3 linked regions of the Saccharomyces cerevisiae S288C genome follow. The protein of the gene in region 2 interacts with the protein of the main gene of each other region in a biochemical or structural test. Each region holds a gene or a part of one and is shown on either strand. Other genes may lie near its edges.

Region 1 (3,398 bases), on a different chromosome or scaffold from region 2:
GTTAATCAGAAACAACAACGTTTCGTTCTTGACCACCTCCAAAATTGGTCTAAATTTGATCACCATTTTGATTTCTCGTGCCGCATTAATCAAGCAAGATTCATCAAGATCTAATATTCTTTCCTCTCCTGAAATCTCCACATGGAATGAGATTTATGATAAATTATTCACTTCATTGGAAAGTAAGATTCAGCTGATTTTCCCTCCAAGGGAATATAACGACCACATCATGCGTTTACAAAATGACAAGTTTATGGATGAAGCATACATTTGGCAGTTCCTAGCTAGTTTAGCACTAAGTGGAAAGCTAAACCACCAGAGAATCATTATTGATGAAGTACGTGATGAAATCTTTGCCACTATTAACGAGGCGGAGACCTTACAAAAGAAAGAGAAAGAATTGAGTGTATTACCTCAGAGGTCTCAAGAATTAGACACAGAGTTAAAATCTATTATTTATAATAAAGAGAAACTATACCAAGATTTGAATTTGTTCCTAAACGTTATGGGGTTGGTGTATCGCGATGGTGAAATATCAGAACTAAAGTAAGATTTTTCCTGTAATTTTAATGTACTTACGCATGTATTTTTTTTTCTCCCTTATTTTTTATTTCCTACCCTTTGTAGATCATTTATTGTATATGTTTTTATATAAGTTTATATAAGTTTGTTATCCTTTTTTTTTCATAAAAAACCCGTATTAGCATCAATAATACCACCATAGTAACGCAAGAGTTAAACAATGATTGAGAATAAGGTTGAACTGGTAGCAGAACTAGTGTTGGAGTCCATCGGTAAAACTGAGGTGGTGTCACGCCATACAGAGGGAACCAAATCATGCCAAGTGAGTTTTCGCATTAAAGATTCTCCCAGTGAGAAGGGTTCAACATCGTTTCTCTCTGAGCTAGTGGTGATTCAGACTCTGGATGACAATGACAAGTATACTGTTGTTATTCGTCATGGTACGTCGATCACCATGGCATGTGTGGTGGGTTACAGCGATTTTAAATTGCCCACAGAATTGAAATGGCCACTAGAAAGAGAAAGCTTACCTGTGGAGCCAGACCTGAAACCTATAATGACACAACTTAAAAGACAAACTGCAGGTAGTGCGGACATGCCAAAATTTGACGATGAGTACCAGGCACAAGCAAGACAAAACCAGGGAACAGCACCGTTGAACCCATATCCCGGACTTACGGTAACTGAACCGAGCTTCGCTAACCCAGCAGGAGGGTATGCGGATGGTGATCTGTATCCTGTTGGCACAAGCCATCCGGATTGGTCTGGAGGGCTTCCCAATCCTCTGGGGAATCCAAGTAGCCAAGGCGGTATGATTTTCGATCCAAATAGAAGACCTGCCCCAAGACGGGAAGATATGCCGCCAGGATGGATGCCTGGATCCAAGTACGACGAACCATTTGGTCCTGGATCTGGCGGATTTGGAGGTTCAGGATCCGGCGGATTTGGAGGGTCAGGATCTGGCTTTATTTAAATGGGTGTTTATTTTAGTACTTTGTTTATTGTGATATTTAGTTTTTAGATAGTATACAGACATAGCTATGTCGAAAGGGAAGGAAAGAATTTATTGAGCGCTGGTATATACAGCTAAAGTGATATCATTGCGTTTGTACAGGTGTACGAGTAGCGAATCTCCTTGAACTTGAGCAAAACCTTCTGCATCCAGCGTAACTTTCGATAAATCACCGATATCTTCGATCCTTTGACTGCCCACGCCGGTAGACTCTATAACGTTACCGTGAGTATCGAAAGCAATGGTTCCCTTAATATCAGATTGTTTTTCCGCTTCCATCTTTGATTTGGTTTAGGTGATTTGGTTTGAGGTTGTGGTATTGCCCTTTAATAGCGGAATCCTTTATATTTTTTGATAATCTTGAAATTTTAAGGTGAGTTTCCATATGTAAACAAGGGAAGAAAAACTAAAAGCAAACAAAAGCAAACGCGAAGCAAAATGGTGTCGTTAGACGATATACTAGGTATCGTGTATGTTACGTCATGGTCGATATCGATGTATCCACCGATAATCACCAATTGGCGCCATAAGTCAGCGAGCGCGATATCGATGGATTTTGTCATGTTAAATACGGCAGGTTACTCTTACCTGGTCATATCCATATTTTTGCAATTGTACTGCTGGAAAATGACGGGTGATGAGTCTGACTTGGGCAGGCCCAAGTTGACGCAATTTGATTTCTGGTATTGCCTGCATGGGTGCTTGATGAATGTTGTCTTATTGACCCAGGTGGTAGCTGGAGCGAGAATCTGGCGATTTCCAGGTAAAGGTCACCGCAAGATGAATCCATGGTACCTAAGGATTTTACTCGCATCACTGGCCATTTTTTCACTGCTAACCGTACAATTTATGTACTCCAACTACTGGTACGATTGGCATAACTCAAGAACTCTGGCGTATTGCAACAATTTGTTTTTACTCAAAATATCGATGTCACTAATCAAGTACATCCCACAAGTGACGCATAACTCGACAAGAAAATCTATGGATTGTTTCCCCATTCAGGGTGTGTTTCTAGATGTCACTGGCGGTATCGCCTCGCTGCTCCAATTGATTTGGCAGTTGTCTAACGATCAAGGTTTCAGTCTGGATACGTTCGTGACAAATTTTGGAAAAGTGGGACTGTCAATGGTAACTTTAATATTCAACTTCATCTTTATCATGCAGTGGTTTGTATATCGATCTCGAGGCCATGATCTGGCGTCAGAGTACCCGCTGTAGCACACAAGGAGAAATCTGCATAATTACGCATATATATATATATATATATATACATAAATATACATAAATATATGTATGTATGTATGTATGTGTGTATGTATGTATGTACACACATGCATGGTTTAAATAGACAAACCTTGGTGGAATTTATACTTTTTTTTGGTGACGAGGACGTCCGTAAGAGCATCGTCGTCAACAAACCATGATACACGACCAGCAGCACCTTCGTTGACAATACTGCTAGGTAGGCCCTTTTCAGGCCTTTCCATAATGGTCTTGATGATGGGCGCCTTGGTTGCACCTTCGACAACGAAAGTAACCCTGTGAGAATGGCAGATTACAGGTATAGTCAGCGAAATTCTGGTCGAGGGCCCACTAGGAGCGTTCTCCACGGGCACCACCCATGCAAGTTTCTCACGTAGATTGTCCTGGAAGTTAGGGAAGAGTGATGCGATATGACCATCGGGGGCACAACCAAGCAGGAACAAGTCGAACATCGGAAGTTTGACGGAATCTCTACCGGCAAACCCGCGGATTAGCACCTTTTCATAGTTATCAGCGCATTCTTGCGGGTCGTCAATCAATGACTCGTCAATGTGGTACACCTTCGGAGTTCCATACTTCGCCGTGTCTATCAGGTCCA
Region 2 (3,759 bases):
TTACTCGAGTGATGTAAATGGTGACGTTTCCGAGGAAAGTGAAAATGAAGTTGACATTGACGTTAGCGATGACTATGATTCAGAATATCTGAGTGAGGAGAATACATTGACAAGAAAAGGTGAAGATAGGACAGATAAATCTTTTGGGAAAAGAGAATTACACAATGGCGCTAAAGATTGTGATAGGAATTGTGATGATATAGAGATCTTCTCAGAACCCGTTAGGCAACTACAAGATAATTCTCGGGAAAAAAGAAGCTTGAGGCGTAATGCCAGAAAAGGTCTATAGTTTGAATGCCATGAAGTGTAGCTGCTGGTTACATAAAATCGTCACTAGCTTTACACATTAAATATTATATACGAATTTATGTACACGAATTCAAGTCCGTAATTTAGTCTTCTGACTTCGACTCCCGATCATCATGCAGTGTTTTCTTGCTATCGTCTTCCTCTTCACCAGCCAAAACTTTATGTTTATTCTTTGTTGCAGCTTTGACAATTTGAACAAAGGCATCCTTTGTTAATGCAGACTTCAATTTCATTTGCTCTTCTGTTAGTTCTCCCCCTTTCTTCTGAGATTGCAGACGTAAATCATCCAACGAATGTGTGACGCCGTCCAGAAGACTTTCATTGAGGGAATTCTCTTCTATATCGTTATCGCCATCGTCCCCTAATGAATACATATTTCTTAACCTCTTAATTCTATTATTAAGCTTCACAATTTCAATAGCGTCACGTAATTTCTTACGCAAAGAAAACCCTTTCTTAACGTCTGGTAAAATATTACTAGTTTCAACTCTCTTTGAAGTAATCCATGGATCGTCCAGCAATTCCGTAGCAGTTGGTCTGTCAGCTGGATTCAATCTCAATGCCTTCAAGATGAAACGCTTAACATCAATAGATATGTTATCCCAATATGGCATATGGAAGGTTACCGGGTATCTCGAAGCTGTACATTCCTCCATGAATCCTTCAACGCTTTCGGCAATAAAAGGAGAATAACCGCACAGTAAAGTATATGTGATCACACCAATGGACCATATATCACAAGGCTTACCATGTCCATCTTGTGTGAGGACTTCTGGTGCCACATAACCCAACGATCCGGCTGCTTTGTATATCAAATCCTCCTCCCCCTTCAATTGTTTAGCTATACCGAAGTCCGCAATTACCAGAGGCGAATTTTCTGACTTATCAACATACAAAACGTTCTCAGGTTTCAAATCCCTATGAACAACATTCTTGGAATGCATATACTCCACGGCACCAAGAATCTGAACTATGATTTCAACAGCATCCACTTCTGTGAACTTCCCTCTAGACAGAATTCTATCAAATAATTCACCTCCTGTTGCCAGCTGAGTGACAATATAGAACTTATCCTTCGATTCAAACCAATCCTTGAATGACACAATGTTCGGATGACTCAATTTTTGAAGAATGGACAGCTCTTCGTACAGCATCTGTAATTGCACATTGTTTCCCTGCAATGCCTTCTTCAATAAGATCTTTATAGCAACATCTTCATTTGTGGACAACTTTCTGGCTTGTCTCACAACACCGAAGGAACCGGCACCCAGTGTTCGACCGAAAATATAATTAGTCCTGTTGACGTAAGATTCAGGTTGACCGCTTAATTTATTGATAAATTTTGCTACAGGGTGGCCGTTTAGACGCTCTGGATCTTGGACATCTACATGAAATTCAGAATTTATGACCTCTGACTCCTTGGGCATTTTTGGTGTCTATATTTATATTGGCGATGTGATAGAAGAAAAGGTGACGAAAAGATTGATCAACGAATTGAAGTTCTGCTGATCTTGAACAATATCGTATTGTTTTATATTATTAGGATTACCAAGAGAAACAGCAATGGGTGGCTTCAAAGGGGGCAGGGTTCTAAGATAAGCCTCAATTATTCTCTTCGCGCTGCGTTAAAGCGGGCGCTTCTCCGAAAGTACAGCACGTTCTGAAAAGCCTCATCAACATAGAATCCATATGATGCTCAACGACTGGAAGTAAAAACATGAAAATTGAAAAAGAATATGCCTGCAGGAGCATTGGGAAGTACATAGTGGCTTATAGACTGCCAAAAAAAATCAGTACGGAAGCAAATGAACCTTATGTTATCCAGGGAGCGGTGAGTAACTGAGTAAAAACATTAGGCAAATTTCTTCCAAAAAATCATTGACATTGCCTGTCAATTGAGTAAATGAATAAATAAATAAATGCAAAAAAGCCAACCTAACTCTCCTGCAATGATACAATGAGTACTGTATCAACGACCATTAGTAAGTATCATGAAGTGTTTTGTATATTTGGAAAAAACCAGGCTGCATTGCCCCAGTGGTGTATTTATATCTACTGCAGTATGTTCTATTCTGTGAAGTTCCTAAAAGACACCGAGGTTTCTATGGCCTAACCATATTGTTGTTCTAACGCCTTTTCTATGTAAGGGTCCTTATTGTTCAAAGCCCCACCGCTCCTTCGCGCGTTGTGCCTATCATTGTGTCAGTAAATGTTAGGATACGGGAAGTGTATATATTAATTGAGTGGACACAGAAAACGCTCTAGAAAGGAATATCTCACAAAGAACTGTAATATAAGCCTACATTATTGATTTTTTTAGTTCTCTTGCCCTTATATTACCGTAAGTCTGCGGTATAATCACCTGGCCTAGTGCTTTTTCAATCATGTTCATTGAATACTCTAGATTACCAGGCTTCGAAAGCATCAATATATCATTTTCTAGAGGCATGCTAAGATTGGCTAAATTTACTAATTTCGCTACATACAAACAAAAATTAGAGTACTTCAGGCTGTTGGCAGGTTCAAACAAATACATCCAACGAATCAGCGTTGCTGACTTTGAGAGACATCCAGATGAAATCAATTATATTTACATTATACTAATATCCATTCTCCAAATGGAAGAGTGTATGCCAGTCCTAGTTCTATGTCCAACTGTTTATTGGGTACGATTCCACTGGCCTGGAAAATGTTCCGTGAACAGTTTGAACTTTACGAATGAAACGTTAAAAAGCGCTTTCCATGCTGTCTTCACTCCCTATTTTGCACTAATGAAAAAAGTTCTTGGAAGGATTAAAAACAACATGTTGCTATTTGCAGAACCTCATGCAAATTTAAATAATTTGTTTGTCAAGCATTTCCACGATCTCATATATAAGAGCGTAAAGGATGAAAAAACCGGCGAGGCAATTCTGTATTTGAGAACTAACGTTAATGTTCCAAATGTTTTTATTGACGATAAAAGAGCAGTTTTTCATGGTGACGGTATGAAAATTGGAAAATTTACCGGCAAATTTTTATGCTTTTCCTTCAAACGAACAATAAGATGGTCAAAATTAGATTCAGTGGATTCTTTTGCGGTTACGACAGTAAATTATAGAGTATCTGTAAATTGGGAAAAGACACCAAGAAAGACTTTCCTTTCTCTAGACAGTGACACCAAAAATTTACACTATATATCGAAAAAGATATTGAATAAAAAGGGAAAGAACGCCACTACATCAAAAACAACAAAAAGTTCATGCACAAGTGAGAACGTTTGCGATGATAAAACATTCTCCGTCGAATTCCCACTTACAACGTCAGCAAAAACTGAATATTTGTTGAGAAGTAATTTTTCTTTAGAAAAAATTAATGAAAGCAACAATCCTACCCTTCAAGAACTTACTTTAAACCGTACACATCGCTTATACCGATCAAATTTTCGCAATGAACAAAGCACCACACAGA
Region 3 (3,759 bases), on a different chromosome or scaffold from region 2:
AGCCGTCATTGATGAAATTGAAAGATCAGCCCTGTCAAATAAGCAAGAATTGATTAAGAAATTCACCTCTAAAGTGGGTCCATTGACTGAAACATCCCACAGAGAAGCCAAGAAGCTCGCTAAAGAAATTCTTGGCCACGAAATTTTCTTCGACTGGGAGCTACCACGCGTAAGGGAAGGGTTGTACCGTTACAGAGGTGGGACGCAATGTTCTATCATGAGGGCCCGTGCATTTGCTCCATATGCTGATTTGGTATGGATGGAATCTAACTACCCAGACTTCCAACAGGCCAAGGAGTTTGCAGAAGGTGTTAAAGAGAAATTCCCTGACCAATGGCTAGCTTACAACTTGTCTCCATCCTTTAACTGGCCAAAAGCCATGTCCGTTGATGAACAACACACCTTCATCCAAAGGCTGGGTGATCTAGGTTACATCTGGCAATTTATCACATTGGCCGGTTTACACACTAACGCTTTAGCTGTCCATAACTTCTCTCGTGACTTTGCCAAGGATGGGATGAAAGCTTATGCCCAGAATGTTCAGCAGAGGGAAATGGACGATGGTGTTGATGTGTTGAAACATCAAAAATGGTCTGGTGCGGAGTACATCGATGGGTTATTGAAGTTAGCTCAAGGTGGTGTTAGCGCAACAGCTGCTATGGGAACCGGTGTCACAGAAGATCAATTCAAAGAAAATGGCGTAAAGAAATAGGACAAGGATTAACCATTAGAACTGCCGGCATTTCCTGACAAGTATATATATTCGTAATCTCAATGTATATTTTTTTCATATATAAACATGCGTACTTAAAAACTTAAACTCATCGTTACTGCAGTACAATGTTCTCTAATGGCATCTCTCTAATGGTACTCCAACTAAAGTCAACATTCTCTCCGTGCAAGAATGCCTTTCTCTAGTTGCAAAAACGAGTCAATAAACATCTTTGATCGAGTCGCCTCATTTTTGTTGACTCGGTGACTAAAATCAGTGCCATTTCTGTCCATGCCTCGTGCGCGAATGATTGAATCGAACTAATCCCGAACACAATCATAGTATCGTATCGCCCATTAGTGCCGTGAGTGTACGCGAGGCAAAAGGCACCATGGAAAATATTCCCTTAGTCATCTTGGAAATCATTGAGACTGTAAAGGAACTCGCAAACGGGTAACCGATATTTACCCCACCTTTGGTCGAGAAATTCCACCTGTTCGGCAATTTTTGCCGCTCTTCTCAAGAGCAAAAGGCGTTTTTTTTTCTGACACGCCTCTTCTCTCGCATGCCAAACTCAAGCGTCCTACATGCTTTTCTCATGAAAGCCAAGTGCGGGATGAAAAACATAAAATGTGACAAATAGTGCCACCTCATAATGTAATCGAGAGGCAAAATTAATCACTTTGTTCTCCCTTTTCTTTTTTCTGGGCGCTCAAAGTGAGATGCTTTCTGTAGAAAATAACATGGCCGTTAGAAGGTACTCGTCATCTTTTAGCTGCCGCATACATGTACACACACACACACACACACACGCACGCACATATATATATATATATATATATATATATATATATATTAAACATGATGGCAAAAAACCGAACTAAGTGCTCCTGTTCTATTTTTATATTCTTGCTTTTCATATTTCTCTAGCTGTATATTACCTTTAGCATATTCAAACATCTTAACCGGAAAATATCTCAGCAAAAAAAACAGCAACAGTCAGAGTAAAAATTGCAAGATGATTGACGATACTGAGAACTCCAAAATTCATTTGGAAGGTAGCCATAAAACAGGAAAGTATACGGGCTATGGTACTACACATAAAATCAGAGCTCAGTTAAACTTTAATGATGAAAAGAAATGGAAGAAGTTTTCTAGCAGAAGACTAGAACTCATTGACTCATTTGGCTTGAGCCAGCACAAAGCAAGTGAACAAGATGATAATATAAGACAAATAGCCACCATATTAAGGAGTGAATTTGAGTACCCTGATACGTTTTCGGCAGAATTTGAAAAGTTGGTTACCGCTGCTGTTCAATCGGTGAGAAGAAACAGGAAACGTTCCAAGAAAAAATTATTAGACTCTAAGAAGAAAATAGCCCGTGGTAAAGTTCAAAAAATTCCTTTGTCTCCCCCCAGCTCAAGTAATATGGGGTCTTGTTCAGCTTCCAATGCATCAAGCTCTGACGAAGAAGCCAGCGTGAAGGAAGAACCTGCTGAGCACGCTCTTCCTTCTCTTAATACTATAACATCACAAAAATTGTTACCTTATCCGAATGGCCGCACTCTTCCACCTGTACCAACTCAAGTTCGCTCTTTACTTAAGAAGAACGCATCTCTTCTTCGTGATCCATCGGCACCGTATGCGCACGGCGGCGATGAAAAATTACAAAAGTTTGATATAGAAGATCAGCCTCTAGAAAGTGAACAAGAATACGACTTTATTGCCAAATCAATAATTGTTGAAATTGTAAATAATGCTATTCCACTACCTGAACAAATTCAAAGAGATAAGTTCATTAGACCAAATTTAACGAAAAAAAAAGGGTGCCAAAGCAAAGTTGTAATATCCAACAACTTGAGAAAACTCATCCTGTCAAAGATACATAACTCAAGGACGTGCTTGGAGATGTCTAAGGATGAAAGAAATTTGGATTCTTTTGCTAATCTAGAAACGCTGGGCAAAAATTCACTAATGGCTTCCATTTCCCTTGTGGTAGAAAACAGCTTTTCACATTTACCGTCTTCTACTAAGCAATATCTTACTGAACGGCTGTCATCAATCGAATTTTTGACTATTCTATCGCAAAGGCTATTTATGCCCGCTACACGTCAACTATTCGCTGACCTATCACAAGAAAAAATTCAGGTGAGAGTGCTGAATCTCATACTGGGATCTCTTGTCAAAGATTATGGGTTTGATGCATCTTTGGCACCAATCAACGAAATTATCTATCACATGACACTCCATCAATATCCCTTGGTTTGTAGTAATAAACAGTCCAATCCAATGAGGCCACACTCCACATCTGAGGTCTTGAGTGCACATTCTTCAACGAAAGATGCAAGCACTCCCGGTAAAGAAGAGCCTCGAGTGACGAGGTCAAGCACATCGGCAGATAGCACTATCATTACATTGCCTTCAATTGAAGTCCCAAATACGTACGATGATGACAGGTTAAAGATGTTGAGCGCGATATCGTTGCAGATTGAAAATTCCACCTTTTCCAAACCATTCAGTACTATTTCAAAATAAATAGGCCCGCTTGCATCATCCCCACCTGCATTACTATGAACTATTTATCATAGCTTATTTTTCCTCTATCATCATTGTAACTTGTACAAGAATGTTCAGTCTGTAAATCTCGCCGCTCATTCTCTACTAGCACTTTACAACGTTGACAGCCACTGTATGTGTAATACAGTGAACCGCCGACTCTTCGGATTTAATAACACAGATTTATTTAGAATAATCTACACATGTTTACGTATGCAACAAATTTTGCACCTTCATATACAAACAACTGCGGTCGTTTAAAAAGTGGGAAAGAACCGAAACTAGAATGAAAAACTCCACCAAAACGGCTTGAGCCTTTATCTTCTGTAACCAGAGCGGTTGCCTCTCCTGTTTTTACTTACTCTGGAGCGGTTGTTTGCATTTTTGTTTCTATTTTTAAATTTACCGTTATTGCCACTTTCAGGTTCATTTTTCCTACTGACAAGGCCCAGTTCTTCAGCCAACTTGCTATTCAAGTCAACACCAAACT

What was found.
Region 1: the proteins of CMK2 (region 2) and ERS1 form a complex in vitro, tested with the Saccharomyces cerevisiae proteins (one large-scale study listed by BioGRID).
Region 3: of the proteins of CMK2 (region 2) and VHR2, one has a biochemical effect on the other in vitro, tested with the Saccharomyces cerevisiae proteins (one large-scale study listed by BioGRID).

The regions. Positions count from the first base shown.
Region 1 is NC_001135.5:247,390-250,787, reverse strand, and holds ERS1 (cystinosin-like protein ERS1), read left to right. Parts: upstream 1-1,972; coding exon 1,973-2,755; downstream 2,756-3,398. Other genes in the region: deadenylation-dependent mRNA-decapping factor PAT1, read left to right, coding at 1-550; FUB1 (Fub1p), read left to right, coding at 743-1,495; EGO2 (Ego2p), read right to left, coding at 1,586-1,813; SOL2 (Sol2p), read right to left, coding at 2,878-3,398. UniProt on the Saccharomyces cerevisiae protein: Cystine/H(+) symporter that mediates export of cystine, the oxidized dimer of cysteine, from vacuoles/endodomes.
Region 2 is NC_001147.6:294,385-298,143, forward strand, and holds CMK2 (calmodulin-dependent protein kinase CMK2), read right to left. Parts: upstream 1,737-3,759; coding exon 393-1,736; downstream 1-392. Other genes in the region: ESC8 (Esc8p), read left to right, coding at 1-289; IRC10 (Irc10p), read left to right, coding at 2,694-3,759.
Region 3 is NC_001137.3:282,194-285,952, reverse strand, and holds VHR2 (Vhr2p), read left to right. Parts: upstream 1-1,730; coding exon 1,731-3,248; downstream 3,249-3,759. Other genes in the region: ICL1 (isocitrate lyase 1), read left to right, coding at 1-712; THO1 (Tho1p), read right to left, coding at 3,587-3,759. UniProt on the Saccharomyces cerevisiae protein: Transcription factor that regulates ERG9, but seems to have a more global function in transcription.